2 linked regions of the Ovis aries genome follow. The protein of the gene in region 2 interacts with the protein of the main gene of each other region in a pairwise test. Links are inferred from orthologs where the notes say so. Each region holds a gene or a part of one and is shown on either strand. Other genes may lie near its edges. The genes, in order: KRR1 and RPS14.

What was found.
Region 1: the proteins of RPS14 (region 2) and KRR1 interact in binary tests that used the Homo sapiens proteins (3 or more experiments, as listed by UniProt). The link is inferred for Ovis aries from reciprocal best matches to the Homo sapiens genes RPS14 and KRR1.

Annotation. Positions count from the first base shown.
Region 1 is NC_056056.1:111,516,356-111,532,191, forward strand, and holds the end of KRR1 (KRR1 small subunit processome component homolog), read right to left. Parts: intron 15,310-15,836; coding exon 15,137-15,309; intron 13,564-15,136; coding exon 13,429-13,563; intron 13,246-13,428; coding exon 13,120-13,245; intron 13,033-13,119; coding exon 12,949-13,032; intron 11,872-12,948; coding exon 11,815-11,871; intron 10,573-11,814; coding exon 10,402-10,572; intron 7,648-10,401; coding exon 7,570-7,647; intron 7,479-7,569; coding exon 7,379-7,478; intron 5,727-7,378; coding exon 5,587-5,726; 3' UTR 4,476-5,586; coding exon of another isoform or gene 4,204-4,475; 3' UTR 3,898-4,203; downstream 1-3,897. Other genes in the region: GLIPR1 (glioma pathogenesis-related protein 1), read left to right, coding at 1,355-1,440, 4,204-4,475. UniProt on the Homo sapiens protein: Part of the small subunit (SSU) processome, first precursor of the small eukaryotic ribosomal subunit.
Region 2 is NC_056058.1:59,532,776-59,550,195, forward strand, and holds RPS14 (small ribosomal subunit protein uS11), read right to left. Parts: upstream 8,333-17,420; 5' UTR 8,095-8,332; intron 7,485-8,094; 5' UTR 7,483-7,484; coding exon 7,334-7,482; intron 6,843-7,333; coding exon 6,681-6,842; intron 5,715-6,680; coding exon 5,638-5,714; intron 4,945-5,637; coding exon of another isoform or gene 4,928-4,944; exon of another isoform or gene 4,724-4,927; coding exon 4,656-4,723; 3' UTR 4,606-4,655; downstream 1-4,605.

The sequences.
Region 1 (15,836 bases), on a different chromosome or scaffold from region 2:
TGGGTTCTTTACCACTAGAGCCTCCTGGGATGCCAGACTCCTTGCTAGCTCTGATCTAATACACAGAGAAGTATGTTTGTATATCACAAGTATTTTTAACATGTTAATAATTATTTCAATTTAATTGGCTTACTTTGTAATCGTATGAATTTTATTTTAGCTATTTTAAAACTGTTTCGAGAAAGAACCTGTAGGCTCCACCAGGCTGCCAAAGGGTCCATGACACGAAAAAGTCAAGAACTCCTTTCCAAAAGCAGAGTTCCAAAAAAAGATTAGTGCAATGGCAAGTTCATTGAAATAAATGTACAGCCGCTCATCATTACTACTCTGAAGTTATTTATGGAGATGTAAATTGTTTGGATATTATTTCACTTTCTAAGCTGATCCTGGTCAGTTACTTAACAGAGTGTTAAGCCTCTAGGTATGGGAATTTAAAAAATTAGTATCTTCCCCATTGGATTATTGTGAAGATTGACTCATTCGAGGACACTTAGAACAGTGCCTAGTACATGAGTGTTCGGTAATTACTATGTTATCAATGTCACATCTTTTATGTGAAAACAAATTGCACTTAAGGAACTCCCTCATAGCTCTTGTTATTTTCTTTTGGAAGATGCTTACCCCAGCCAAAAGGCTCCTATCCAATAATAACCATGGAGGTTTGCTGGACTGAGAACAAAAATGTGGGTCATGAGAGCTTCTCTAAGATGGACAGTTTTATGGGTGGCAGTGATCACACAGGCGAGTCATTAACTAGAGAGAACATTTCGTTAAAATCAAACCTAGGTCCCATTGACTCTGATATCTGTACATTGTGGTTTTTGGCAACTTAATCTTTGAGCTGTAGTTTCCTTACCTATAAAACAGAAATAAAAATAACTTTCTTCCAGAGTTGTCTCAGGAATTAACTGAGATGATTAAGACAAAGGTTCCTAAACACAGGCACTTAGAATGAATTTGGCAAATATTAGCAGGCTTCCATTTCCGCTTCCCTCTCTCCACTTCTCTCATCAATCTTCTTAATTTGTGGACTTCAATCCTAGGATTTAGCCAAAAAGAAGACAGTACTAAGTTGTGTCTGACTCTTGCGATCCTGTAAACCGCAGCCCGCCAGGCTCCTCTGTCCATAGGATTCTCCAGGAATCTACTGGAGTAGGTTGCCATTTCCTTCTCCAGGGGAACTTCCCAACCCAGGAATTGAACCCAGGTTTCCCAGGTTGCAGGCAGATGCTTTACCGACTGAGCCACGTGGGAAGCCCAGTGTTTAGCCAAGGACCATGATAAACTGCACTGGGGGGGCGGGCGGGGCGGGGAGGACCGTTTTCCTGATGGATAGTTTTCTTCTTCTTCGCAGAGGCAATTACCCAACCTGGCCATATAAAAGAGGATCCCCGTGCAGTGCCTGCCCCAAGAGTGACAACTGTCTGGACAATCTTTGCAGTGAGTAAAAGAAACAATCTACCAATAATACAATGTGTTCAAAACTCGTAACTTCCCAGAGATCAGTCCTGAATATTCACTGGGAGGACTGATGCTGAAACTCTAAAACTTTGGCCACCTGATGTGAAGAACTTACTCATTTGAAAAGACCTTGATACTGGGAAAGATTCAAAGCAGGAGGAGACAAAAGAGGATAAAATGGTTGGATGGTATCACTGACTCAATGGACATGAGTTTGAGTAAACTCCAGGAGTTGGTGACTCAGGATAGGGAAGCCCAGTGTGCTGCAGTCCATGGGGTTGCAAAGAGTTAGACAAGACTGAGCAACTGAACTGAAGAATGAAAACATTTGTTTTATCCTAATAGCTCTTTTCAGGAAAAGGGGCATCAGATAGCAATCAAAGCAATGACTTACTGTCCTGGGAATGACTATATGTTCAAGAGAAATTTAAAGAAGCAAATATCCTTTATAGTTAGCACTAATCAGAAGAACAAATGACTCATTATGGGAAATTGTAGACCCAAGATTTCTAATTTCTGCAAGATCAAAAATGTAACAAAGTTAACCAAAATAATTCTGAATTGTGTTCAGGTAGAATTCTACCTGTCCAAAGCATTCAAGAATCAAATTTTCACCTACAGAACTGAATGAAATGAAAGTTGCAATGTAGCACTTTTCACTAGTAAGACAACATTTAATGAGAAACCGTGTAGAAGGTCAATGAAGATAACTTTCCAAGGCTGCTTTACATCACTTTAAAGTATTAATACACAGTTGGCCAAGAGTCCATTTGTTTTCTGTTCCAAACACATTCCTTCCCATCTTAGTTTTTATTTTTTACTTTTTGACAAGGTGTGAAGGGAACCCTCAATCAAGCCATTACAGTTGTGCGAACCCTCTACTGCTTTTGGGCCTTTACCTGTAACCAGCTGAACCTCTCAGGGCTGCAGGGCTGGCGGGGGCGGCCGAAGCAGGAGGCTGGAACGGGCTGAGTTTAACAGCATACATTTTTGTTTGGCCAAAGTGTTCTACTGCTTACATGTTTTCAAAGTCCAATTCCTCTCAACTATTTGTTCCCTTCTTCCAGATCTGTATACATTAACTTCTCATTTTCACTCCAGCCACATAGCAATATTTGACCACCCTGCTGAGCCAGTTATTTCTCTGCAGTTCAACCACTTTTTCTGAGAATCTGGAACAAGTGCCTGGCACACACTTGATAAATATTACCTATTATCCCCAAATTCATCTTCCCTCTAATCTCAAAACTTGTTTGCTTTGGTATTCTGGTAGCATCTTTATGCCCAAAGTTTTAGGTGATGTTTTTATGCTCAAACAATCCTCACAATGCTTCTTTAGAATCAGTGATGAGGACAATTATTTTAAGTTATGTTAAGAGTAATTTTACTGCTGCTATTGGTTAACCGTCTTTCCCACTAGACTGAATTCCAAACAGACAGAAGTTATGCCTATCTAATTCACCTTTGTAACCAACTGAAGTGCCTAGTCTGGCTGACAAATGATGACTAATTTGACTGCATTTTTTTTTTAATTATTCTATTTTAAAAATCTAGATGATTAGTAACAACAGCACCAGAACAATAACAAGAAGAAAACTTGTGGACTTTTAGCTTTTGATCTTGGAGATCTAGCTTGAAATGGTCTCGAATCTTGTGGGATAAAATTCATAAATTTAAGACTGCAGTCCAACAATAATTAAAAACCCCTGGACTCTTAAGACAAAGGAAAACACAAGCTACCTTGCAGAGGGGTAAGGGTTGAAGGATAAAGGCTTTTATCTACCAGATTCCATCTCTGACAAATTACAGCAAACACTGGAGGGGAAAAAAAACCTTTTCATAAATACCAATGGAGGCCAAATTAGGATGGTTTTGCAAAATGCACTGGGAATACCAATGGTACACAAGCTGATCTGAGCTAGTGCCTGTGCGTGGAGGATATCTGTTTCACTATTCAAGAGTTGGATGTTTAACATTTCAAAAATATATATATGTAAGAAAAAATTTAAGTAGCACATCACACCTTGATTTCATGGAAGTGCATGCCAAGAAAAGTTAAAGCAGCGGAAGCTTCGAAGGCAGTTCACCACAGACAATGCCCAGTCACAGGCATGCTGGCCAGAGACGCTCACGAGCAGGCAGAGGATTCCACCACAGGAGTCCAGCTGCAGCTGGCCCGGAACCAGTGTAGAAAAGGTGTTTAACCATTCATAAAACATATAAGAAGACTGTGGCAGATGTGGATTTTTTCCCCCAGGTCTTGGAATGTCAAGTGGAGAGGAATAGTTATGACTTTTGATAGCCAAATGTCCTATTAATAAGTTAATGACAGACTAGAACAGATCAGAGGACACTCTTTACTACTGATTATAGGATTCTTCTTCTCAGGGAGAAACTTAATTTTCAGGAAAATATTTAACAAATTGCCCACACTGATTATTACTAATACTTATTTTTAATTGCAATGTCTTATTTTTATTACATTTATTTTATCTGCTTATGTAAAATGAGTTTCCATTTATAGTAGTGGTATATAAAAAGTTTTATATAAACAAGATGATTTAAAAATATCACGTTATTACAGTAAGTACAAAAAAACTTGAATAATTCACCTTTGAAAATCACTGCAGTAAAGCCAAAGCACCAGTAAATGGCTATAGTTAAGAGACTTGGCTCTTAAAAAGAAAAGCCTCACCAGTCCCTACTCTTTTAATTCTTGTTTTCTTTCTTCTGATTTCACAGCTAACCCACAACGAGACAAAGTGACACGTATGTATATGAACCTTAAACCGTTTAAGATCTATGTGAGCTGTGTTACTGCATTATGGGGAACACCATTAATGAGTATATTTCATGTCTGTTTCACAGGTTATCCTATTCCAGACCGGCCGATATTTCCACGTGACAGATACACGTCTCTTTTTCTCTTAATTACTCCACCAATTCTAATACTGAGTGTTATAATTATCATTTGGGCCAAGGGCAAATATCCTCATTTATTTACTTGGAAATAATACAATCCAAGGAGGAAAAAAAACCCTAATTCAAACATGGTGTTTTTTGTTTCAGTAACTACTGGGGGTATTTCTGATTTGCAGCAAACCCTTACTCAAAAGAAGAAATGGTTCACGTTCACATTCCACTTTTTAAGAAGCAGCACTGTTTCCAAGCTCCCACAGCTGTGACTTGCAATGAGTAAGCTCTATCCCCCGTGCGCCTCAGCTTCTAAATATGTAAACTGGCAAAACTAGATTTAGGTGAGTCTGAGACACCACACCGGCCCTCGTGAGTAAAAACACTTCTAAATAACCTGGTGCATGCTGCTCCAACTCTACGTATCTGGTTTTCCACGTTCTCTGGCAATTTGATATCTTATGGCTTACTACTTCCTCAGACATACTGGAATAGTAATTAAGGGAATTAATTTAAAAGGCCTTGCTTTTTTGGATTATGAATTAATTTTGGAACAAAATGTAAATGAGATTACATTAAAGCACTTCCTCAAAACCAAATGCTAGGACATGATAATATTTAAAGTCTGCTGCTAAGTCACTTCAGTCGTGTCCGACTCTGGGCGACCCCACAGACGGCAGCCCACCAGGCTCCCCCATCCCTGGGATTCTCCAGGCAAGAACACTGGAGTGGGTTGCCATTTCCTTCTCCAATGCATGAAAGTGAAAAGTGAAAGGTAAGTTGCTCAGTTGTGTCCGACTCCTTGCAACCCCATGGACTGCAGCCCACCAGGCTCCTCCATCCATGGGATTTTCCAGGCAGGAGTACAGGAGTGGGGTACCATCGCCTTCTCCGACATTTAAAGTCTAAACAACCTTGAAAACTACCCCTAAAATCATGCTTAGGTAAAACCTGCCTGGAATAGATTAGATACAATGCATATAAACACATATATACCACTCTCTTGTATGAAATTTTTCAAAAAACATATGGACAATACAATAATTCATAAAGAACAGTTGTTTATATTAACACTGTAATAAAGAACAAACTCAGAAAAAAGTGATCAGGGTATTACTTCTCATGGATAAGGCAACTAATGTTGCCAACTACAGTATTTCAAAATCCTTTACAAAAGGAGATAGCTTAATAAATTTTAGTTCAGAGTTTGTGTTACTTTTTCTTCTTTTTCTTTTCATCTGCTTCCATTTTAAGCTTAACTTCTTCAGCTGTAAGAGCTCCCAGTTTCTTATTCTTTGCTTTCTTAACCTTTTCCTTGAGGGCAGCCACATCAATCTTAGTTTCAGTAGAAGCTAAATAAATTAAAAAACAATACACGTAATTCTTTAGATTTCACCAAATAAAACAAAGATTACAGAAATATGAATAATTTCAGAGTACTATTGTAATTGAAAGGTCGTATTATAAAATACAAAATACCTGCTAAAAGGAAAGTTAGAAATTTCTTCAAACTAGGAGAAGACAAAGTGCTTAAACAGGCTAATAAGAATCTACATGAAAATGACATTGCACTTTATCTGAACCGATTCCTGGACTCAACTATGCTGAAACTACATTTTTGTCCTTAAATTGTTTGAAATTATTATTTATATTCATTTCCATATTCTAGAACTTTACAGTACTCTTTTAAAAACTTAGTTTTCCAAATATTAGTTCAACGAATGACTAGTATTATTTCATTTAGCAGGATTTTGGTAATAAAGACAATAATCTGAGAGCGTCTGGAGGTCCTAACAGAATCAAACCATGCAGTTAACACGAAAAGTTTGAACAAAATAAAGAAAAGCAGCAGCGAAAAATGGCAACTTTTTCTTATCGTTTAAAGAACAGTATTCAGGACATAAAAGAACCACAAGATAAAATGTCAGCATGCAAACACCCCAGCCACTTGAGAGCAGACTTCAAGTCTCCACTACAATGGAACAGCTACACTTGGCTCAGTATTAAAGTGAGATTAAACTATGTGAACGCCTTGAGAGTACGTAACTGACCGACTCTACAGACTAAAAATTATGATGCTTATGATATTTTTAACTTTTATATAACCAATGATCTAAGAAGCAGAATACACTATTTTTTAAGTTGTTAACACTGATATATATTAACAAAATGGTAATGTTACATCCGGCTTAGACCAATAGGTGATGTACAATACTGGAACTTTATAATACTGGTGACCTCCCTCCCCTCACTGACTACTTCGGAGAGTTACTTTACAGAAGAGTACAAAGGTTACTAGGGGAAAAGAAAATGTAAAAGAGAAGGTAGGTCAAAACAAGGCCAGGAATGATGATATTTTTTCCGAGTGTCTTTTTAAGAGCCTCTAAGAAAGATATTCCTGCTATTTTGCTGGTGCTGTTTTAACCCAAAGTGATGAGAAATCCATGTTAACAATACAAGCATCAAGTTTTAAGTCACAGATTATACAAGTAAAGAAAGTATAAATTTGATAAGCTCTTTAAGGGGCATGACAGCAGAGCTCAGGGATCTCCCCACTCTATTTCTACAGAGGATTCACTGCTCTGGTTTCTGTCTTTCAAAACAAAGAGTCCTTCCTTAGCACAGCAGAGATCAGGAAGCAACTGTCAATCTGGGATACTCTCAAATAGACAGTGAAAGTCAAAGTGAAGTCGCTCAGTCGTGTCTGACTCTTTGTGACCCTGTAGCCCACCAGGCTCCTCCGTCCATGGGATTCTCCAGGCAAGAATACTGGAGCGGGTTGCCATTTCCTTCTCCAGGGGATCTTCCCGACGAGCTGGTACTAAATTATGGGTTATCTCAGTCACCCCGTCCCGAGGATTTGTGAGAAATGAAATGCTGAGAGAACTGATGAAAGATGTGGTTATTTCTTAACATGAACTCCGAGATGCAACAAACTCACTACGGGTTTACTTTTCCTCTAACAGACCTCAGCATCATAACAAGACTTAGAAAACAGCATTACCTTCCTTAGGTTTCTTTAGGTGAACTGGTTTTTCTTTAGGTGGAATAAAAGCTTTGTTTCTTTCCTCTTGTCTCTTACTAAGAGCTTCTGCTTGTTTAGCCTACATGGTTAACAAAGTTTTCACAGTTGAGTAAGAATCCAAAGTATCTATGCACTTTGCAATTAATGTTGCAGGCTAGACACAGTCTTACCTTTATTGCTTCCATTTTCTGTCTCTTCTTTTGACTTGCCTTCAAAAAGTATTCACCACTAGCCAATTCTTTATCAACCTGTTGAAATGAGTATTTACAATTACTTCAGAAATCATGTAGATGGGAAGTCAATTCCTAAGAAATTCACAGTGACCTTGAGGTAAAGACAGTAGGGTCGAAACTCTTACGTAAGGTAGTTGCCTAAGAAGAAGGAAACGTATTCTAAGCTGACAAGGATACACATACACAAAAGCACGTAGGTAGGAAAGTAGGTGAGGTGTCCATGGAATACTCAACCGACTGCTTCAGGGGAGGCGGAAGGTCAATGACTCAAAAAAGTGAGGAAAGACACTTGGAAAGAGTTTGGGACGTGAAGAAACATGAATGACAGGTAAGGGAGGTGGGACGTGATTTAGAAATGACTGAAGCTTCCTGAGAAGAGTGACGAGAGCCAGGTAACACTTTATAAAAGGAACAGAAAAAAGGAGATAAAACCCTGTTCTGTTTTGTTTTAAAGTTTCATTTTGTTCATCATACAAAATGAAAAGCAAGAACTGTCAGGATGTAGCGACTGAATACTAATTAGAGCAAGTAACAACTCAGTCATTAAATAGTAAACATACAATTGATCTATCTAAGGCAACCCTCTAAACTATTACTAAGCTCTCTACAATGACTACCTTGCTTAATTCTCAAATTCTCAGACAATTCTTTGAGACAGGTATGATCATCATCCTCATTTTATGTCGAAAGAAACTGGGGGCACAAATGTGTGAAATTATGCTAATTAACATAACCTCAGACATGCAGATGACACCACGCTTATGGCAGAAAGCGAAGAGGAACTGAAGAGCCTCTTGATGAAAGTGAGAGAGAGGTGAAAAATCTGGCTTAAAACTCAACATTCATAAAACTAAGATCATGGCATCCAGTCCCATCACTTCATGGCACACAGATGGGAAACAATGGAAACAGTGACAGACTTGATTTTCTTGGCTCCAAAATCATTGCAGATGGTGACTGCAGCCATGAAATTAAAAGACGCTTACTCCTTGGGAAAAAAGCTATGACAAACCTAGACAGCATGTTAAAAAGCAGAAACATTACTTTGTCAACAAGTCTGTCTAGTCAAAGCTATGGTTTTTCCAGTAGTCATGCATGGATATGAGAGCTGGACCATAAAGAAAGCCGAGTGCCAAATAATTGATGCTTTTGAACTGTGGTGTTACTTGAGAGTCCGTTGGACTGCAAGGAGATCAAACCAGTCCATCCTAGAGGAAATCAGTCTTGAATATTCATTGGAAGGACTGATGCTGAAACTGAAGTTCCAATCCTTTGGCCACCTGATGCAAAGCACTGACTCACTGGAAAAGACCCTGATGCTGGGAGAGACTGAAGGCAAGAGGAGAAGGGGACGACAGAGGATGAGATGGTTGGATGGTGTCACCAACTCGATGGTATGAGTTTGAGCCAGCTCCAGGAGCTGGTGATGGACAGGGAAGAGTGGCGTACTGCAGTCCATGGGGCCGCAAAGAGTCAGACCCAACTGGGCAACTGAACATAGCAAATAAGTGGCAAAGTTAAGCCAAACGAGACACTGCTGATTCAAGGAGCTTACAGTCATAGAAGAGGAAGGTAAGACAACTAGTGAGTACAGGACAGGGCTTCGTGGAGCACACCAGGTGTTACAGAAGCGTGCTTCACCGCCTGAGTCACTCACTACTTTTCCCCAACTAACACTTTCTTTCTGGCTTCACTTTATTTTCCAACGTAGAGCTCAAGATCCAACACTTACAGCTTTTTTTTTTTCACTATGATGATCATCATTACTTTTTCACCTCTGACCTTTCATCAAACCTTCCCTGAAAAACTGCAAACACAGGGCTGTGGGAAAGACAAGATAGTATAAAGGGAAAAAAAAAAGGGTTAAAGGAAAAACTTCAACATACAGCCAAGGGAGGGAATAATGAAGAAAGATCCTCTAGCAGACAGGTGAAGAAAGAACTCAAAGCACAAGCAAAGAATGGACTGGTGCAGATGGGGAAAAAAATGTGAGCCAAGAGCAAGCTGAAAGAGTTCTTGCCTGGTCATCTCAAATATGTGAGGGGTAAAAAGCAACGTCATCTACTGGGAGGGGAAGAGTGCCAGAAGAATTACGAGGACACAAAGCCGCCAGAGAATACTGCTGCAACCATCGGAGGCTGGCAACGTGGGCTTTTAAGGAATATGATCTGAAGAAGGACTTTCTTCAGCTTTGTTTAGTAGCCACACTATGGGGAAAGAGGTCAAGTTTTAGGACTGATGCAAGTTTCAGGGCTGCTCTGTCAGACAGGTGTGACAGAACAAGGGAGTATGAAAGGAAACAGCGACAGGCAAGAGAAAAGAAATTACGCCAGAAGACAGCTGACAAAATGGGAGGCATTCGTATCTTTAAAAAAAAAAAAAAAAAGGACAGATACTGGAAGTTAAGATTTCAAATCCAGAGCAAAATATATAGCACATGTCACATGAATGAGGCTAAAGCAGAACTGGAAGCACTCACGGCTGCGTCACTGACATTTTTTAACCGTGGAACATTCAGCGGCTACAGGCATAGATACACAACCAACCTCAACCACCTTGATGTCATTTTACTCTCACAGCATGAAGCTTCCACTCCCCACCTCCATAGTTAGTTCAAAATTAGTATATCTACACTTACCTTCAGATTCTTGGATCTCTACACACCCAAACACCCACAGAAATTCCACCTAAAACACCCTCAAAGTTTCTGACAAAACAGATTAAAATGCTTTCCCTCTCATGTAACAAAATTCAACATTTAATACTGACCTGACTTTCTGGCTGTGGTGGTGGGAATGGTGTATACTCTTTCTTAACAGTTTTCTTCTTTGGTTCCTTGCGTTTATTCACATTTTTGTGCTTGAACTGTGGCAAAAACCTTTCCCAACTTTGTGATCTTAACTCAGAGTCTTTCGCCAGCTCTCGTTTAATCATTAAAGTCTTGGGTCATGGTAATATACGAACAAAGTAAACACTTTAATTTAAGAAGTGACATGTTTCTCAACCTAAGACATTATAAACAATGTTCTTACAAACAATAAAATTAAAAGGAACAACTCTTAGCTGCTTCAGTAGGATTAAATCAATTCTGTAAAGAAAAAGCATATAATCTCAAATATGCATAACTAACCAAGTATCAGAAAACCATTAGAAATTTAGACTAAGAAACAGAATCATTAAAATAGAGATGAAAAATAAGACTCAGTTTTTCATTAAAACCTCTGAAATTCAACTTAATTATACAGAGACAGTGCTTAGTGAAGTTTCCTACAAGCAGGAAGCTTTTAGTAGCACATGATATATCATTCATAGGGAAAGAAAAAACTAAAGTTTCTCATGATCAATGAAACCAGCGTTTTCACATTTCAGCCAACTCCACCTGAATTTTATCGACACTGACACATCACAGGATGCAAAGTAGGCATCACACGCAAGACATGCTCTCTTTAATGTCCCAATGAAACGCAAAATCATTTTTTCACCCCAATCTAAGAGTGACTTTTCAAATTCATCAAATTCAAGGACTGTTTAACAAATATCCATCATAAAACATCACATACCATGGTTATGTCTCCAAAAACAATCACTGAATGTTATGCATACAGGGATATAACATCTCTCTCAATGAGCCTATAATTTGAGTGTTAAATTCCAAAACAAGTTTTAATGCAATCTGAATTATTCCAGACTTACAGAAAATGGCAGAATTCTAAAAGATCACACTTTTAAATACAGTCTGTGGGCTCCTTAGCCTAAGAAAACTGAATTGGTACCCTCTACAACAAATGGCAACCCACTCCAGTAGTCTTGCCTGGAGAATCCCCTGGACAGAGGAGCCTGATGGGCTACAGTCCACGGGGTCGCAAAGAGTCGGACATGACTGAGCGACCTCACTTACTCACTTACAACAAATTCTGTGAAGCATATTTTATTTGTATCAGAACTGAATCACTACATTACAGAGCTCCCTTCAACAGCTTTCTTTCACACAATACTCCTCAAAGTTCAAAGAAGGAACTGTAGGACTGGGATAGTGTTGAGTGGGCTTCACTCTACCCAAATAGTTCTGCTTTATCTGTTTTGTATATTAGACTTTCATAAAAGATTTATTTTCAAGAAAAGTTTCTGTAGCTAAAAACAATTTGATAACCACTGTTATACTAATGAACAGTGAACACTCACTTTAATATTGTAAATTGGATGAATATTCTTCATAGTGTCTAGGACTACTTTCCGAACCTGAAATTTGCAAAGAAAAATGAATCAGTTATTTATAATGAAGATTTTAGTGAACTAGGTAGAAGAGGATTAATATATTGCAAAATAACCTACGAACCAGGCAATGGCTACGAAATTGGATATACTAGTCCCTTCAACTGTTCTGAGTGGCTTCTGGATCTTTCATAATAGTTAACCTCACTTGGATACAATGAAGTCTCTCAATTCTACTGCTAAAAAAGTGATACGCAGAATTAACACAACAGTCTGGAGCTGTGCAATTTAGGGAAAGAGAGCTGGACTTAGAGTTAGAAAATATGTGAGCAAATGCTGGGACTTCATAGAGGAAAGTCACTTAATTTTCCTCCTGACTTCAGCTTTTGAATTCTGTAATACATTTGAAATAAAACCACCTTAAGGATCTGTTGTAAGAATTAAATAATATACTTAGACTCCACAAAACTATGAAATACTCAAAACGCCTAAGTTGTTGTTGCGCCATGTGAAAAAAGCAGATACTTATGAGAAAGAGGTCCAGAAGAAGTATTATTAAAGGCCCTGGAAAGGAAGTAAGAGCTCACAGCCAGATACATACAACAAAAGCCTCAAAAGGAGCTTACAGAAACAGTATGTGCTCTATAGATTTTCTCATAACATGTGACAAACTAATATTCACGAAACATTAACATATTAAAACTCAAGGAAAATACATCTTAAAAGAAGTCTTCTGGGCCTGACCTCTACTGGCTGTTACTGCGAAGAACAGATCTGCTCAGTTCTCCAGTCATTCAAACCCATGTGTCTTCTAATGTTTGCTACAGACTGAGAGCTTAAAATACCCACTTAAAACCTGTAGTAGGGGAAGTAATGATGAATTCAGAAATGAATCTCTCTGTGGTTACCAAAAGTTAGCCGTGATATGCTAAGGTTCAGCAGTGGCTATTCCCTCAAATTACATGAAGAATTTACTAATGAAAATCAAACAAAGCACAATTCACTTAAATTACGAAACAATACATTATCCAATGAACTATTATAGTATACCCATATTCTTTCATTTATTCTCTGCTAAAACTAATTTAAGAGCATAAATCTCACCTCTTTCAAGCCACTAAAAGGTCCAATGGCTGAAACCGTGTTTCCCTGAACCATAATGTAACAGTTTGTCAAGAGTTCCAATGCCTATATCAAAAGAGCAAAAAGTTGCACTTCAGTACACTGAAAAACTAACAACAGAGGAAGACATACTTTTTCACTAATAAAAAGTACCTTCAAAGTAGATCCTTTGGGACCAATAAGCCGTTGTCTTCTTTTTACAAATCTTTCTTTATTTCTTACTAAAGAACCTATTTTAATGATGTCACATGCAACATCATCCTGAAGAATTCGTACTGCCTTTTGGGAAAATGAAGAAAATAGCTCATCAACATTCTTTACAAGTACAAATGTTTTCCAAGCCAAGAAATTAAAGCACAAAAATGAAAACGTTTTAGTGGGGAGGGGGGTGGCGGCAGTGATATATGTTGTCTCTAATGTTGCTGCACATAAAGCAAAGTCTAAATTTAATTCTAAAGTTACCTGTTCAAACGAAACACTCCTGGCTAACAGTTTGATTAGGTCTCTGGCCCTAATGATGATGTATGGATCGAATGTCTTCTTTGTAGTACAGACAGTCATGCTGCCCTCAATCAGGTCCAGGGTTGCATTAACATGCTACAAAAGGAGCGAACAACAGTTATCTGAAGATGAATTCAATTTTAGATGATTACAGAGCCTGTCCTAGCCTAACTATTAATTTCTGTGCCATTAAGATATCTCAAAATCCTTTAACTCTCTCCTTGAAGAAGCTGGAAAGTTAATGTAAATAAGGGATACTTGATTACGTTTAGATTTCAAAGAATATAAGAAACTCAGGTAATTGAAAACATTTATAGTTGGCTTTAGGATAATTTACACTTACTGGAATAAATATTACCTCCAGTCTAAAAAAACACATCAATCAAAATGAGGTCATACTTAAGACTTAAAGGTAAAAATGTAAAGCTTGTAATTTCGCTACCCTGGCTAGATGTTGCTCTAATCTAAAATCTTCCCCCTAGAGTGAAAATAGACTTTCCCTTTCAAACTCTCCCCTGGTGGCTTGGCAGTGAAGAATCTGCCCATCAATACAGGAGATGCAAGAGACGCAGGTTCGATCTCCGGGGTGGGAAGATCCCCAGGAGAAGGAAATGGCAACTCACTTCAGTATTCTTGCCTGGGAAATCTCATGGACAGAGAAGCCTGGTGGGCTGCAGTCCATGGACACAACCGAGCAACTAAACAACAACAACAACATTAGCTAAATACAAAGTAAAAACAAACTGTCATAGGTTTAAAAATAAAAGCAGTAACTAGAGAATCTATGCATTAACTTTCAAAAGAACCAGACTTCAACAAAGCAAATAAAAATGCTATTTTCTAACTTGTGAGCATGACCTCAAGAATATTTCAATACAATGAATGATGAACAATTAAACATAAGGTCAGGTGTCTATCAGTTTAAACACACACACACACAGAAACAAATTGGGTCTAATCCCAGATATAGACAGCTCTAAAATATGGCCTGGTTTGCTAACCACTCTCATGCCTGGTGGGCACAAATGACTCTAGAGCAGTCCCACAGCTGAGAAACAGATTTTCAATAACAACCTAGGGTGTACACAAACACACAGAGACAAACCAAACGCTTCATAAAATGATCCTTATCCTTACCACATGTGATTTTTTTTTCCTAAGGCTCACTATAGCCATTAAATTGACTTCCTGATTCTCTAAGGGGTCTCAATCCAGTTTGAAAAATAAAATCAAATACACTGCTCTAGGAGCAAGGCAGGAACAACAAACAGGAAAGTCGCTCACATCCATCGTCTTTCGTTTACAATAAGATGTTAAACAATGCCAGGAGCATGCCTCAGCTCAAAACCGCAAAGGTGGACGGCAATCATCACAGCAGAGAGTAGACACTCTGAAATCTGGAGATTCCAAGTGAGGTTCAGACACCCCTACAAATTTAAATCCCCTAAAAATGTAAAAGCATGTGAATTTTGCCAAGTAATCTGTTATTCACAAAACTAAGAACAAATGAACAGTAAGGATAATGCTTATCTAGTGTGTTTAAAATACCAAACGCATCAAATTAAACAGCTATGCTAGCACCTTTACACAGAAGTCCATCATCACACATTCACTCACTTAAAAGATACAAGCAATAACAATCTCAGAGCAATACAGAAAACATGCATACATGTTCATTCAAGGCTTTCTGTACCAACGGCCAGCACTCTTTCAAGTAAGCCTCTCTGTATTTCGGAAACAAAGTTGCAAAACTGCTCTCCTCCAGGAGTCCTCTGGGATTGTCCTCTTTGGAGAAAGCTGGCTCCTTCCAACCATCCGGAACAGTGAGGAGTTCAGATTCATCTACAGAGGAGGGAAAATCTACACATCAGATTTAACTTCTTTTGAAGGTTTTTGAACACTTGTACGCATACATGCACAAGTTTCCCAATACTCTCATGCATTTCCTTCTTCCCTGCTTTTTATATTATTCAACAGTCCAAGAACATGCCTCTGTCATTATCAACATACTGTATTAGAATTATCTGTAGTATGTGTTCCAGTCACGTCACAGACAAAGTTCCTTGAGGGCAGGGACTCTGCTCCTTGGGTCCACAGTTACTGGCATATACTTGGCACACAGTGGATACTCACAAACTTCTACTGCATTACACTATTTTAGAGTTGAAGATCCAAAGACTATTTGGTTTACATTACTATTTTAAATAAAGTAACATTTCAGACTCAACTGAAGTGGAGCCTATGTGTATATATATTTGTATGTGTGTATGCATAAAATTTTCAAAAACTGATTCCAGTGTGTACTTTCAGTTAATATTCACTACTATAGGGTTTTAGAGCTTTCACGTGACTTCCTTCCATATACTCTC
Region 2 (17,420 bases):
CTCAACTTATTTGAAGTCCCTTATACATCTTCTCTTTGGACCACTTAAGGTCAGCAATGCTCCCCCTGAGGCCATGTTTTGCAAAACGTTTCCCAGGTCTTTCATTAAGAGACTGAGAATTGCCTTGGTAGTATTCTCCTGGGCAAAAGGGAGCCATGACACCATTACCCAGGTCAATGGAGTTAACTGGAAGAAAAACCACTGTCAAGACCTCAATTGTAGGTGGCTTCCCTGGTGGCTCAGAGAGTAAAGAATATGCCTGCCATGTTGGAGAACTGGGTTCGATCCCTGGGTCGGGAAGATCCCCTGGAGAAGGGAATGGCAACCTGCTCCAGTATCTTGCCTGGAGAATCCCATGGACAGAGGAGGCTGGCGGGTGGCGCCACAAGAGGCAGACACGACAGTGACCAACACTTTCACTTTCTCCAAAGAGGACTTGCTCTTCTACAAAGAGCCCAAAGACACTCCCACCTGTGACCACATTAGCTCTGAAGTCTGAGGGTTACTGGGTTAATATGAAAGTCAAGTTCAGTTCCCTCACCTCGGGGCTGTGGTTGGGGCTGAGAGCAGAGCCCTTGGGGGATTAAGCTCACTTAACCTCCTGGCACTAACTCCAGTATTTGCCCCAAGTGTTACCCCAGCTTTCTTTCCTATAGCTCTCAGCTCCCTAAAGCATTTTATCTTGATGTCCTTTTCTTTCCCATTTCTTCAATGCTCCTGGGAATTTCCTTCACTTTCTTAGAACCCAAGAATGCATGTTTGTTTCAACGTATCTAGAATCTATTAGAAAAGTCCTTCAACTGACTAAACTACAGAAGGTGAAGCCAATTCTTTCAATGATTCATCGAACAAGTCTTTATAGAGCCCCTATTTTTGCAGACTGGGAGCTGGGCTGGCAGACACTGTATAAGACACTCTCTGCCCTCTCGGAGCTAGATTAGCAGGGCAATATGCTATTAGAATAGAGGGAGACTAGTGGTACCACGAGGGGAGTAAGAGTGATGGGGGAACTGAGTGGAGAAGCACCTCGAGGGACATCCCAGAAGATAACTTTGAGACTGATGAAAAACTGATTCTAACAAGTGAGTGGTGGGTAGTGAGGCCAAGCTGGGGAGAGAAGATACTGGAGGAGTCAGACTGAAGGCATGCAGAATCGGCAAAGAGAAAGGAACCAGGTTTGGTTTGGGCAGAGAGGGTGAAGGTATGGCAGAGTTAGATGAAATACTGGAGATTCATGGAGAGTGGATTCTAGACTGAAGATAAGAGTGAGGCATGGATAAAATAGCACTCGTATGTGTGACAGGATCCAATTAATTTGAGGTCACACAGCTGTAGTGTGGTCTGGGCATAGGCATGGGCCAGAGGGAAGACAGGGCTTCCTTGGTGGCTCAGTGGTAAGGAATCATTCTGCCCATGCAGGAGATGTGGGTTTGATCCCTGGGTCGAGAAGAGTCCCTAGAGAAGAAAATGGCAGCCCACTCCAGTATTCCTGCCTGGGAAATTCCATGGACAGAGGAGCCTGGCAGGCCCCAGTCTATGGGGTCACAAAGAATTGGACATGACTTCAGTTCAGTTCAGTCGCTCAGTCGCGTCCAACTCTTTGTGACCCCATGAACCACAGCACACCAGCCCTCCCTGTCCATCACCAACTCCCAGAGTCCACCCAAACTCATGTCTGTTAAGTCAGTAATGCCATCCAACCATCTCATCCTCTGTCATTCCCTTCTCCTCCTGCCCTCAATCTTTCTCAGCATCAGGGTCTTTTCAAATGAGTCAGCTCTTCGCATCAGGTGGCCAAAGTATTGGAGCTTCAGCTTTAACATCAATCCTTCCAGTGAACACTCAGGACTCATCTCCTTTAGGATGGACTGGTTGGATCTCCTTGCAGTCCAAGGGATTCTCAAGAGTCTTCTCCAACACCACAGTTCAAAAGCATCAATTCTTTGGCACTCAGCTTTCTTTATAGTGCAACTCTCGCATCCAGACATGACTACTGGAAAAACCATAGCCTTGACTAGACGGACTTTTGTTGACAAAGTAGTCTTTGCTTCACTTACGACTAAACAAAGAACAGAGGGAAGACAAGATCTGTTAGGAGAAAGGCTGTTATAGGAGCTCAGGTAAGGGAAAGGAGTGAGAAGTAGGGACCATCTCTATGGCCCTGACTGAGGCTGCACTTAACAGTCAGTGGTTGGGCTTCCGCCATCTGCAGTCTCAGGTGGGCAACAGGCCAAGTCCTGCCCTGACTACCTCAGTGGCCAATAGGCCACTTACATTCCAACCTGGACTGCACCAACTAGCTCTTTGCAACTTGCAAACAAAACCTAGGAATGAACTGCTTTCAAAAATTCCTGATTACATCCCTGGTTACCAGGAAACAGCAGGACAAGTTGCAAAGTCCCATCACAGGAAATAAAAAGAACGCTTCAGTGAGCGCCAGCATCTTCCCACCAGGATTCCAGCCAGCTGTCATTCATGATGCCTGGCAGAACTGAACAGGCATTAAGAATAGGAGCAGTTTCTTCAGTGCCAGATTAAATGCTTTAATCTTTCTTGTGATGAACTATGAGGCTGCCATTATCACAGGAATTTTCACTAAAGGGCTGAGCGGTTATGTAACTTGCCCAAGGTTGAGTCCAAATCTGGGGAACTGGGATTTCCACCCTGGAATACCTGCCTCTTGCAGGTCTGTGTACCATGCCCTGCCTTTGAAACCAGAATGACAGTAGAAAAGCACCCTCACTTCCCCCAACCCCTGCAATGTTTATTTAGGGATACTTTTAGATTTACCAAAAAGTTGCAAGATACGACATTTCTGTATATGACTCATTTGGTTTCCTCTAATGCTAGTATCTTACATTTTTAACAATTCACTTGTCAAAACTAAGGAGCACAGGTACATTACTACTAACTGGACTCCAGATTCAGATTTTTTTTTGGCTGCACTGGCCTTCACTGTGGTGTGCAGGCTCTTCATTGCAGGGTGTTTGGCTTTCCTGTTGCAGAGCATGGGCTCTGGAGCACATGGGGTTTGTTGCCCTGTAGCATGCAGGATCTTAGTTCCCTGAACCAGGATCAAATCTGCCTCCTCTGTTAAGGCAGATTCTTAACCACTGGACCACAAGGGAAGTCCCTAGGTTAGTATTTATTAGTTTTTACACTATTGCCCTCTCAGGTCCAGCATCCAATGCCTTGTTATTCCACCTCCTTCAGCTCCTCCTTGTTTAACTTTTTACAATTTAAACGTTGATATGTTGTAGAATGCCCTCTAACTAGATTATGGGTTTCCAGAAATTGAAAATTCAGTTGAAGTATTCATCATCTTGTCAAGTCAAGAGTACTGGTCAGATAAACATGATTTATCCAAGTGTTCAGCAACCTTAACAGTTCAGCCAGTTCAAACTTGATAGTTCATCTCCCCAAAGCTAACATCTTCCATGTTCTATTCTTTGGAAATTGAGTCACTAAGCCTAGCCCACAGGTAAGTTCACTTACTGGAAGGGGGATCAACTATTTTTAGTTTTTGTAAGATTTATGCCTTCATCTTAAGATCACCTGTATCAGCATGGACTCATTTTATACTGTGTTGTAATTACTCATTTTAAAGATGATAAACATCGACTCATTTATGGCTAATCCATCACACACAGAAGTTGGTAGGAGCCATGGCAAGACTCACCTCTTCAAGGCTCTTCCAAGTGGGATGGGAGTCGTTAAGTAGATGCCTACCTGGGAAATGGATACTAAACAGCAATAAAAAGGAATGAAGTACTGAAACATGTCTGCTGGGATGAACCCTGAAAGCACCATGTCATTGTCTTGCCTCGGAGTAGAAGTCACCATCACAGGGCCCTGGGCTAATCCTCTGCATAACATTCAGGACCATCTGGTGCCAATGGGTACTTGGAGTTGGATGCAGGCTTCCGGAAAGGACAAACTTTTTTATCACTGATGAAAATAGGGCTTGGTGTGTATTGGTGGGTGACTGAATCTTTATGTACTTTATGTACTGATGTAGAACAACCTCCTAGATCTGCCAAGTGAGAAAAGATACAAGACAGTGTACTCCCTTTTTTGCACAGAAGGTGTGGGGGGCGAGTACCCACCCACATGTGTTTATATATGGCTGTCTGGAAGGCTCTTCTGTTCAGGCTACACTGGGCTCAACAGTTTCCACTCCACTCCCGCTCTTTAAGAATTGGTCCATTTTTGGAATCAACATCTCCACTTTCAAAACAAGGTCTCCAAGACCTTGGTCTCTTTAGATGACTGAGGCAACTAATGCCACAACCAGTAGTGTTGAGAAGACCCAACCGTAGCACCATATCTTCACCTCTCCTTCAGCTCCTCCTCAGGAAACCAGTTCAGAGAACACAGGCTCTCCCTGTCCCAGGGCAGGGGCTGGATCAACACCTCGTGTTCCTCTCTGACAGGTTATACCTATTCTCTGAAGTAATCTATCTATTAATGGCTGCTGGTTTTTCAATGCATCCGTGACCTCAAGACAGCCCCATACCCTGGTTAAATACAGACAGAAAGAAGGAATCAATTACCCCCAACCAGTGGCCCCTACATAAAGGAGAGACGACTGGAGTCAAAAACAGCTTACATCAAAGCAATTTATTAACAGAAAGCAATAATTTGAGGAGTCCTGTTCACAGACGGCGACCACGGCGACCCCCCTTCCTGCGGGTGCTGTCGGAGGGGATGGGGGTGACATCCTCTGTGGGGAGGAAGAGAACACGTCATTGTCTGGAGCTGGGTGGGAAGGGGAGCAGGCCGCCCGAGGCCCGTGGTCAAGCAGATCAGCAGTGGATCCTACTGCTTCACAAGGAAGTCCTCAGTATGTAGCAGATGGGTGTGGAGCTGCCTCCTCAAAACTCCTCACGTAGTTTGAACTCAACTTCCGTGAAGGGGAAACGGAGGCTCAGACAGAGCAGGCACCTTGAATAGGATGTCAGAGGCAGGTGGCAAATCCAGGTCTCTGATACCTAGCCCACTGACTCTAGTGGAAAAGTCCTCTCAAACTGAAGAATAGCTCCATTTTAATTAGGTAAAAGAAGAGTGAAAATGTTTTGGAAAAAACCTCTAGAGAGATGGACCATCAGGTCGAGGGGATCAGTACACACTGCCACAGAAATAGCAGGGAAGGGCTAACATTTTCTTCCTAAGAGCTATAAATGGTCAGATCACAGACACAAGGGTATAAACACTATGCAAGTATAGAGATCTGCTGCGATTCTCAACCATGGGAGCCACTGCCCACCCCCCACATATTTTTGTCACAATGACTGGCCAGCTCTACCAATACACAGTAGTCAGCCCCCCCAAATATTGAACACAACTCCCTTGAAAACACTAAAAAGGACAATTCATCTCCCATTAGTTCCACCAGCCACCATCAGGCACAGAAGTACAGAAATGACACGGTGCTGTTCCAACGCAGGACATTGAGGTCAAGGTGGCGTGAGTGCTCAGGTAGAGAGTTTATGTCACTCGGTACCTCTTGCACACCCCATTAACAAATCTAACTGCCAAGAGTTAGCAGACCAGGGCCTATATCCACTGCACAGACCGCATGCTTTCTGGGGTCACACTTGAAAGGAAACTAAGCATCAGCCAAGGAGGGGTACTCACCAATCCGCCCAATCTTCATCCCTGAGCGGGCGAGGGCTCTGAGCGCTGACTGGGCCCCTGGTCCAGGAGTCTTGGTCCTAGAAAATGAATACCGAAATTAAGAAAAGCCTTTGGCCAAGTCATTATTTGCTGCATACTGCCCCCGCACCATGGGCCACAGTTTGTGCTCCCTTTCGTCACATGCTGTGATTCTAAGTCTTTTTGGTGATCTGTCCTTTCCCACCCTCCCAAGATCAATGGATCACTTAACAACTTCCTGTTTGGTCTCTTCCCAACATAGCGGCCATCTTTAACAGACAAACCAACCTCAACCTCAAACCATTACTATTAAAAAGTTTTCATGCCCAGAGATTTGCCAAGCTCATTTCCATTCCAAGACCATTGTCCCTGGCTGTAATACTCTCGTCTGTCCTTCCTTCACTGGACCAATTCCTAATATCACAACATTAGGTCTTCATTTAAACTTTATTATCAACCCAGCCCTGACACATTTTTGCTTCCCAACATTTACTGCAAAAAGGAACCATACGCTCCCCTTCTCTATTTTTTTTAAAGCCTGACTCTGCCAGCCTGAGAGCCACAGAGGATGGAACAATACCTGTTTTCCCCCATCACTCTTTTCTAGTACGTAGAACATAGCACTTCACATGCTGTGTATGCTCAGTTAACACAGTAAGTTGGGGCAGGGGTCGTGCAGACCAAATACAGGCACACCTCACGTAATTGTGCTTCACAAATCATGCCTTTATAAAAAAAGTCCGTTACATTTTCTTTAAAGCAATAAAGTATTTTTAAATTAAGGTATGCTGCGTTTTTTAAAAAAGACAGGATGCTACTGCACACACAATAGGCTACAGTATAGTGTAAACGTAACTTTTATACACACTGAGAAAACAGCGCTGCTCATTTTTACTGGGATATTTTTACTGCAGTGGTGTCTGGAACCAAACCCACAGTGTCTCTGAGGTATGCCCATATTAATCACATAGGTACCCATGATGCCTTGCCCAAGCTCAGGGACCTCATTCTCCCCCGAGCCTTACCTATTCCCTCCTGTGGCCCGGAGTTTGATGTGGAGGGCAGTGATCCCCAGCTCCTTGCATCTCTGGGCTACATCCTGGGCAGCCAACATGGCAGCGTATGGAGAGGACTCGTCTCGGTCAGCCTTCACCTTCATCCCACCAGTGACACGGCAGATGGTTTCCCTGGGAACAAAAGCACAGGATCCTCTCTTTCTTACCCATCAAGGATTCAGAGTGCATATCACACCCTAAAGATAAAGAGCAGTACTGCCCAGGAAGGGCAGCGGATGAAGGTCAATCTGAACATCATCCTGATCCCACAAGACTGCCTTAGGCTCTGCAGTGAAGGTGTTCACAGATCCCAGATTAACACTGCATCAACATTTTACTCTTAGCTTTAATCTTATTACTCGAGTAATAGGAGTAATTCCTCCTCATTTTACATAACAAGTCCCCAGGCTGTAAAGGCACAAAGTGTACCTCCTTTTCTCTTAGAACTCCAGCATCTAGATTACAGCATCTGTGCACTAATCAACCAAGCACTTATCCTTATCTGAACATCTTTAATGAAAATATTTCCAGAGATCCCCTTAAAGTGCTACTCAGTTCCCCGGTCATTTCTAATCCCAGCCCTTGCTAACTGGGTCCTGTGCCTCCCCACGGGGGTAACTCACTTGCCAGAAAGATCGGTGACGTGCACAAAAGTGTCGTTGAAGGATGCAAAGATGTGGCACACACCAAATACATTCTCTCCTTCAGCCACCTGAGGGCCGAGGCTGATGACCTGTTCTTCCTTCTTTTCCTTCCCCTTGCGAGGCGCCATCTCTTAAGGAGAAAAAAAACAAATTCCAACGTTAAGGACAAAACCCCAAATGTTTACAACTCTGGGAGTTACTTCCTTCCCGAGAAAGGTGAGCAGGACACTGAAGAGCTCTGGCTCTCCCGCTCCAGGCCGGCGGGAGCAGAAATCAGGGTTCCCAGGGGACTCCCAACCCACCCTGCCAAGACCAGAGTGCCCCTCATCTCTGGCTTCAGGGGCAGCAGGCGCGTGATAGGTGTTCAGCAAACAACGATGTGCAATCCCTACCCTCAATTTCTGGCTCTGAGAGACCTGCACAGAAACTGCAATGTGCCCGACTTAGCAGTCACTCGGACTTAGGAAGCACCTAAGGAAAGGCCATTTCCTCTGCATTCCCTTCTTGAATCCTCACTACATCCCCACGGGATTCACGAGACGATTATTCCTACTTTCCAGATTCGACAACTCCAGAGATCAGAGGCCCGGGATGAGACTGCCCAGGAAAAAACCGGTTAAGGTGGGAACTCCATTAGACCAACTTATTACCCAATCCTTCCCAACCACGGTGTGCTGCCGGTTAAGGTAGTGGTGGTCTTGGCGCCGGGCCTACGCCTTCAAGGCTGGATCCGAACTCACCCACACTTAACAGCTTTTTCCTAAACCAAGGCGGCCGCCTCCCGAGACAGGGCGCGAAACAGTCTGGGTCAGCCCGCCGTGCTCCTCTCGCCCGGCACGAGGTTTGTTTCCCGCAGAAAGACCTCAGCCCCAAGCCCTTGGCCCCGATGAGCCCCCGTGCTGCAGGATGCCAGCCGATTTTCCTTGTCCAGGATTCCTACCTGAGCGTCTTCCCCAGACTCCGCCACCGGAAAGAGAGGGTGGAAGAGGGCGGGGCGACGGGTCACGCTCTTGTCCCGGAAGTGCACGTCTGAGGTCACGGGGCGAGGCCAGCTCCCGGAAGACGCCGATTTTAGCGTTTCCAAGGAGATTAAAACGCCTGGAGAACACAGCTTACTGAAGGGAGCGCCTAAGGAGGTAAGGGCCTGGGTATCTTGACGAGCGGTCTGCTTCTAAGACTGAAAGCAGCAGCCACACCCCGTGGGTGTGGAAGGCCTGCGTTCTAAGATGGCGGTGACCGCGGCTAGACGAACTTCCACCACCCTGAGCCCGGAGCCTGCCTAGCCTGAGGGCGGCAGCTCCCCTCGCGGTGCGGAGGTAAATGACAACAGTATTTGTCTGTCGTCTCTGACTCTGCAATCCCTTCGACTGTAGCCCTCCAGGTTTCTCTGTCCATTTCCTCCTCCAGGCACGGATACTGGAGTGAGTTGCCTGCCATTCTCTTCTCTAGGGGATCTTCCTGATCCAGGGTTCGAACCCCTGTCTCCTGCATTGCAGGCAGATTCTTTACAGTCTGAGCCACCAGGGAAGGCCTTTTAACTACTGAGTACTTGGCAAAATAAGAATAAATTATTCAATATTTGTTATTTTATACCAGCCTATATTCATATGCATTGCTTCATTTGATCGTCACCACGTTAACAGATAGATACTATTAAATAGATACTGTTTGACTTTTCTTTTAAAGAAAGAGATTTTCAAAAACATTTTATTGGAGTATAGATTTTGGGGTTTGGGGGGATATAGTTTATTTACAGTGTTGTGTTAGTTTCAGGTGTCCAGCAAAGTCATTCAGTTATACAGATATTCATTCTTTTCCAAATTCTTTTCCTCGTATCGGTTATCAGAATACTTAGTAGAGTTCCCTTTTCTATTCAGTAGGTCATTGTTTGTTTTTACTTATATATAGTAGGGCCTGCAAGCTCTGTCAGTTCAGTGGTGTCCAACTCTTTTTCAGCCCCACTGCTCGTAGCTCACCAGGCTTCTCTGTCCATGTGATTTTCCCCTCAAGATTACTTGAGTGGGTTGCTATGCCATCCTCCTATGTATTATTGTGTGTACCTTAATCGCAAACCTCACTTATCTACCCCCCACCCCCAACCACGTTTTCCCTTTGGTGACCATAAGTTTGTTTTTTAAAAATAATCTTACTTATTTATTACTTAGTTTTTGGCCACACTGGGTCTTCCTTGTTGTATGAGGGCTATCTCTAGTTTCTGAAAGTGGAGGCCGCAGTTCCCTGCAGAGTGTGGGCTTCTCATTGCAGTGGTTGCTCTTCTTGAGGAGCACAGGCCCTAGAACTGGGGCTCAGTAGCTGTGGTGCACTGGCTTAGTTGCCTCTAGGAATGTGGAATCTTCCCGGATCAGGGATGGAACCTGCATCCCCTGCTTTAGCAAGCAGGTGGATTCCTATCCACCAGGAAGTCCCTATAAGTTTGTTTTTGATATCTGTAAGTCTGTTTCTGTTTTGTAAATAAGTTCATTTGTATCATTTCTTTAAAAAAATTAGGAACTTTCCCCAGTGGTTCAGTGGTTAAGAATCTGCCTTTCAATGCAAGGGATTCAAGTTCCATCCCTTGTGGGGGAACTAAGATTCCACATGCTGCAGGGAAATAAAGTCCAAATGCCACAACTCCAGAGCTTCCCACAACTGGAGAGCCCATGTGGCCCATGACCCAATGAAGAGCCTGCATACTGCTACTAAGACCTGACACAGCCAAATAAATAAATGTTTTTAAATAAAAGGAGTCTTAGCAGCTTAAAAAAATTAGATTCCACATATGAATAATATCATATGATATTTGTCTTTGATTTACTTCAGTTCAGTCACTCAGTCATGTTCAACTCTTTTCGACCCCATGAACTGTAACACGCCAGGCCTCCCTGTCCATCACCATCTCCTGGAGTCCACCCAAACCCATGTCTATTGAGTTGGTGATGCCATCCAACCATCTCATCCTCTGTCATCCTCTTCTCCTCCTGCCCTCAATCTTTCCCAGCATCAGGGTCTTTTCCAATGAGTCAGCTCTTTGCATCAGGTGGCCAAAGTATTGAAATTTCAGCTTCAGCATCAGTCCTTCCAATGAACACCCAGGACTGATCTCCTTTAGGATGGACTGGTTGGATCTCCTTGCAGTCCAAGGGACTCTCAAGAGTCTTCTCCAACACCACAGTTCAAAAGCATCAATTCTTTGGTGCTCAGCCTTCTTTATGATCCAACTCTCATATCCATACATGACCACTGGAAAACCATAGCCTTGACTAAATGGACCTTTGTTGGCAAAGTAATGTCTCTGCCTTTGAATATGCTGTCTAAGTTGGTCATAACTTTCCTTCCAAGGAGTAAGCGTCTTTTAATTTCATGGCTGTAGTCACCATCTGCAGTGATTTTGGAACCCAGAAAATTAAAGTCAGCTACTGTTTCCACTGTTTCCCCATCTATTTCCCATGAAGTGATGGGACCAGATGCCATGATCTTAGTTTTCTGAATGTTGAGCTTTAAGCCAACTTTTTCACTCTCCTCTTTCACTTTCATCAAGAGGCCCTTTAGTTCTTCTTCACTTTCTGCCATAAGGGTGGTGTCATCTGCATATCTGAAATTATTGATATTTCTCCCAGAAATCTTGGTTCCAGCTTGTGCTTCCTCCAGCCCAGCTATTCTCGTGATATACTTTGCATATAAGTTAAATAAGCAGGGTGACAATATACAGCCTTGACGTACTCCTTTTCCTATTTGGAACCAGTCTGTTGTTCCATGTCCAGTTCTAACTGTTGCCTCCTGACCTGCATACAGGTTTCTCAAGAGACAGATGAGGTGGTCTGGTATTCCCATCTCTTTCAGAATTTTCCACAGTTTATTGTGATCCACACAGTCAGAGGCTTTGACATAGTCAATAAAGCAGAAATAGATGTTTTTCTGGAACTCTCTTGCTTTTTCCATGATCCAGTGGATGTTGGCAATTTGATCTCTGGTTCCTCTGCCTTTTCTAAAACCAGCTTGAACGTCTGGAAGTTCACGGTTCACTTAGTATGATGATTTTCAGGTCATCCACGCAATCCATGCAGATGGCATTATTTCATTCTTTTTCATGGTTGGGTAATACTCCATTGTATGTATTTACCACTTTTTCTTAAGATTATCATTTTAAAATAATTTTTACGTATGTATTTGTGACTGTGCTGGGTCTTTGTGGCGGTGCAGGCTTTTCTCTAGTTGTGTTGAGCGGGGGCTACTCTCTAGCTTCGGTGCTCGGGTTTCTCACTGTGGTGGCTTCTCTTGCTGTGGCGCGCAGGCTCTAGGGCGCATGAGCCTCAGTAGACGCAGCTCCTGGGCTCTGGAGCACAGGCGAAATAGTCGTGGCACATGGGCTTAGTTGCTTCACGGCACATGGGCTCTTCCCGAATCAGGGATCCTATCAGTGTCTCCTGCATTGGCAGGCGGATTCTTTACCGCTGAGCCTCCAGGGAAGCCCTACCACTTCTTTATTCATTCCCCTGTCAATGGATGTTTAAGAGGCTTCCGCATCTTGGCTGTTGTAAACAGTGCTGCAGTGAACATTGAGCTGCATGCATCCTTTTGAATTCTAGCTTTCTCCAGATACATGCATAGGAGTGGAACTGCTGGGTCATATGATAGCTCTGGTTTTAGTTTTTTCATGAACCTCCATACTGTTCTCCATAGTGGCTATACCAATTTACATTACCACCAACAGTGTAGGATGGTTCCCTTTTCTCCACACCCTCTCCAGCATTTATTGTTTGCAGACTTTTTGATGATGGCCATTCTGACCAGTGTGAAGTGATACGTCATTATCACTGATTTGCATTTCTCTGATAATTGATTTGCATTTCTCTGATAATTAGTGATGTTGAGCATCTTTTTATGTGCTTTTTGGCCTTCTATATGGCTTCTTTGGGGAAATGTTTATTTAGACCTTCTGCCCATTTTTCGATTGGGTTGTGTGTTTTTTGACACAATTCCTTGTTGGTTACTTCATTTGCAAATGTTTTCTCCCATTGTGTCAGCTGTCTTTTCATTTTGTGAATGGTTTCTTTTGCTATGCAGAAGACTGAATTTAAGGAGTTGCCATTTTTTAATTTTTGTTTTAATTTTCATTATTCTAGGTGACAGATCCAAAAAGTATTGCTGTGATTTATGTCAGTGTTCTGCCGGTGTTTTCCTCTAAGAGCTTATAGTGTCCAGCCTTACATTTAAAGAAAGCAATTTTAACTGAAATTACACAGTTGTGGGCAATTTGGAATTCTGACTTCAAAGTCTGTGTTTAATAACTACTTCCATATATCCCTCTAATAACAGGCTTGAAGGACCTTGAAGGATTGGAATGTATAGACATGAAGAAGGGACAAAAAGTAGGTCATGTGTTGTGCTCTGTGTGTGTGTATGTGTGTGTGTGTGTGTGTGTATGCAGAGGTGTGTGTATATTAATATATCAATACATGCATGTACATATAATGCCTACATAGTGAAATATATATATATAATTTTTTAACAGAATGAGCAATTATGTAACATAGCATGTAGCTCTTTGTGTACTGTAATTGATGCCATTGAACAACTTGGGCTTGATTTCAGGAAGAGCTTTTTTAAAATTCATCTGTTTGTTTTTGGCTGCACTAGGTTTCCGTCGCTGCACGTGGGCTTTCTCTAGTTGCAGTGAGCGGGGGCTGCTCTGTAGTTTTGGTGTGCGGGTTTCGCATTGCGGTGGCTTCTCTTCCTGAGGAGCGCAGGCCCTAGGGTGCTCGGCCTTCAGGAGTGGCGGTATACCGGCTGAGTTGCTCCGCTGCATGTGGGGTCTTCCTGCACCAGGGATCAAACCCGTATCCCCCGTATTGGCAGTTGTACTCTCAGCCACTGGAGGAAAACCCAGGGAAGAACGTCTTTTTAAAAATGTAATGCCCTCTTTCCCCTTTATGAAAAGTAATTAATTAAAGAAAACCCATAGAATAGAAATATTCAGAATGGAGAACAAGAAGAAAAAGGAAACGAGTCTTGCCCACCACTATTAATACCTTGGTGTGTGTTCTTTCCAAACACCATCTCTGCACACAGGTTGGCCAAAACATTAGTTAAGGTTTTTCCGTAAGATGTAAGATGTGGAAAAACCTGAACAAATGCTTTGGCCAATCCAAAGCATACAGAAGAGGCACATTTTTTAATTTTTTAATTGGGGTATAATTGATTAACACAATGTTGTGTTAGCTTCAGGTGTACAGCAAACTGAATCTGTTATACAAATACAGATATCCACTCTTTTTTAGATTCTTTTCCCATATAGCCCGTTGCAGAGTACTGAGTAGACTCCACTGTGCCAGACAGTAGGTCCTTATTAGTTATCTATTTTATATATAGTAGTGTGTATGGAGGCACTTCTTTTTTAAAAGAAAATAACTTTACAACATTTTCCCCCGATAGTATTAAAAAAGCATGCTCATTATAAACAATCCTCACACTACAGAAAATAAATAGCAAAAAGTAAAAATCATCTCTAAATTCTTTCTTCTCGAGATACCACTATTATCAGATTGGAGCATCATTCCAGAAATAATTTTGTTTACTTGTATCTATACCTATAATATTCAGTCTTATGTAAATGAAATTGTGTTCTGTATGCCACGTGTGTTCTGTATGTGACTTTTTTTTCTCACTCAACATTGTGGACATCCTCCCAAAACAACTAATAGAGAGATCTACAACATTTTTTCACAGGTATTTAATATTTCATTTATTATTTTGAATATTAAGTGCATTCACACAAATTTAAAAATTAAACATACCAGAGCTCTTCCTCTGGCATTGCCCTCTCCACTCTATCCTAGGGCCCGGGGTGCTAAGTTGTCCTGAAAACCTCAGACTATGTCCCTGCCCTCTGGTTCTGGTTAGAACTCAGAAGAGACTGGAAGGGAGATGCAGAGGGCAGACTTATGTCCCTGGTCTCTGTCAGCAAGCTGTCTGGGTCCCGTGACTTGGGCTTCTGTGGGATGCCCCTTCTCTGTTTTCAGGTCTAGAAATACTCTCTCCATTCTCGGGAGGTGACATTATCTGCTGTTAACGTCCCAGGGGCCTGTGGTTTCCCTGCATTCACGCTGCTACAACTTTATACCTAATTTGAGTATTAAACTCTTCTCCCTTTGCTTAAAAAAAAAAACCCTACTCCTCTCCTGTCCTCAGAAACCCAGTTCTCTTCTTTGCAAGCAACCAGGAATCGCTATAGGTCTTCTCTGTAGCTCAGTTGGTAAAGAACCGGCCTGCAATGCAGGAGACCCTGGTTTGATCCCCTGGAGAAGGGATAGGTTTCCCACTCCAGTATTCTTGGGCTTCCCTCGTGGCTCAGCTGGTAAAGAATCCACCTGCAATGAGGGAGACCTTGGGAAGATCTCCTGGAGAAGGGAAAGGCTATCCACTCCAGTATTCTGGCCTGGAGAATTCCATGGACTGTATAGTTAATGAGGTCTCAAAGAGTCAGATACGACTGAGCAACTTTCACTTTCAGGAATCCCTGTATCGCATTATTTTTTTTTACTACTATATGGTATTCCTCTCTATAGCTGTCTCACTGTTTATCTAACTAGTTCTGTATTGTAGGACATTTATTTCCAGAATTTTGAAATATAAACAGAAGTGTCACAAACACAGTTGTGATATTCTTTCGTTGGGGTAAATTGCCAGCAGTCAAAGGCAATATGTACTTTAAGTTTTGATATTTGTAGCTAAACTGCCCTCCAGAAAGTTGTTATCAATTTTCACTTCTGTTAAACTGAGACTCTAAATCTACCTCCTTACTGTATTGTATTTCTTCTGTAATTAACAAAGTCAGACACATCTTTATGGATTGTTTTGCACATTTGCATCTCTTTTGTGATTTGTCTGTTTATATTCTTGGAAAGAAAGAACCATTTTGTTCTGTGGTATTGAGTTCCCCAGTGGAGAAGGTATGTTAGCAGAGACTGGAGCATTATGGAGTAAGTTTCTGCTCTGGATAGAGTTGTCTTAAGGATGTCCCTGGTGGTCCAGTGGCTAAGAATTTGCCTTACAATGCAGGGGACATGGGTTCGATCACTGGTCAGGCAACTAAGATCCCATACGCCGGGGATCAACTAAACCTGTGCAGCACAGCTACTGAGCTTTTGTGCCACAACTAGAAAGCTTGTGCCCTGCGATGCAATATCCTGCACGCTGCAGCTAAGACACGATGCGGCCAAATAGACAAATAAAAGAGTTGTACTGAACACACAGATCTCTAAACCTCAGTGCGGGAAGGCTTGATGGAGGGAGCACAGCTTCATCTTGTGGCTGGAGGCAGCCCACAGTCACCTCGGGACAAATCTTTCCATAGGAAAGTGCCAGAAGTCTTCAAAGTCACTGTTTTCAGATTCCACTGTCATTTTTTCTTTCTTTTTTTTTTTGAAGTCGCTCAGTCCAACTCTTTGCAACCCTGTGGACTGTATAGCCCACAAGGCTCCTCAGTCCATGGGATTCTCCAGGAAAGAATACTGGAGTGGGTTGCCATTTCCTTCTCCAGGGGATCTTCCCGACCCAGGGATCAAACCCAGGTCTCCCACATTGCAGTCAGACGCTTTAACCTCTGAGCCACGAGGGAAGCCCTCCACTGTCATTGTCTATTCAACATGTTTATTATTTCAACAGAGAGTTATTGGTTGTGGGTCCTTGGGCAAAAACTGGAACCTCTCTGGGCTTCAGCTTTGTCATCTGTGGAGTGGGATAATTTTAAAGAAATGTATACTGAGAGTTATATTTTTACAGGGGGCTTAGTGCCAGGCTCTGAGACAAAGCAACAGTGGCTCCAGGGTAAGACTTGAGGGCAGTGCAGGAATTCCCTAAGCGAAGGCAGGAAGAATGGCCTGAGCATGGGCCCCAGTGTATGAAAAGGTCCCGGGCCGGGAAGGCGTTTGGAGGGTTGAAGGAATTAAAACCAGCTGGGCTGTTGTGTGTGAGGGCGGAGGGACGGGAGGTCAGGCTGGAGGAATGGCCGGAGCCACCGTCTGCGGGCTCTCACCTCCCTTCTGCTGTGTCTGTTTTCCCCATCCCAGCCCACCCCACGTGCCATCAATACTGTGAGCACAGGGGCTATGTCTGCCAGCACCTCCCTTGATGATTCATGCCTTCGATGAATGCTTATTGATCACCTAGTATGTGTCTGGTCCTGCTCTAGATAATGATCCATTCTATCTTGGAGTTCACCTTCTGGCAGGAAAGGCAGACACACTATTTAAGGTAATTTTCTGTTGTGTTAGAAGCTAACCAGCACTATGAAAAAAGAAGTCCAGCAAGGGAAAGTGTGGCGAGGTGTCTGAGAAAAGGGGGCGGGGCAGGTAGGAAAGGGGATGGGGCATTTGCAGAATTAAATAGAGAGGCACTGACTTCCCAGGTGGTCAGTGGCTAAATACTCCACGCTCCCAACGCAGGGGCCCTGGGTTCAATCCCTGGTCAGGGAACTAGATCCCACATGCTGTGACTAAGACCTGGCACAGCTGAATAAGTAAATTAATTTTTAAAATATTTTTTTAAAAATGAGAGAGCAGAGTAGTCTCCTTGAGAGATTTGAGCAGAGGCATGAAGGAGGACAGGGGGCAAGCCTTCCCTTTATCGTCAGTGAACTAAGGGAAGACCATTACTGGCAGAGGGAAGAGCGTGTACAAAGGCCCAGAGGTAGAAGCCTCAGTGACATATTGAAGGACGAGCAAGGCCAGCGTGGCTGGATTTGGAGGGAGTGAGTGAGGGGATGTGGAGATGTAACAATGTAATGATGAGGGAAAAAAATGGTGGAGGGACATCCCAGGTGGTCCAGTAGGTAAGAATCCGCCTGCCGATGCAGGGGACATTGGTCCCCTGGTCCGGGAAGATTTCACATGCCATGGGGTGACAAAACCCACGAGCCACAACTAGTAAGTCCGCACGCCGCAACTACGGAAGCCCTCGCGCCTGGCACCCATGCTCTTGCAACAAGAGAAGTCACTCAGTGAGCAGCCCCCACAACTCAACGAAGAGTAACCCCTCACTCACCACAACTAGAGAAAGCCCTTGCACA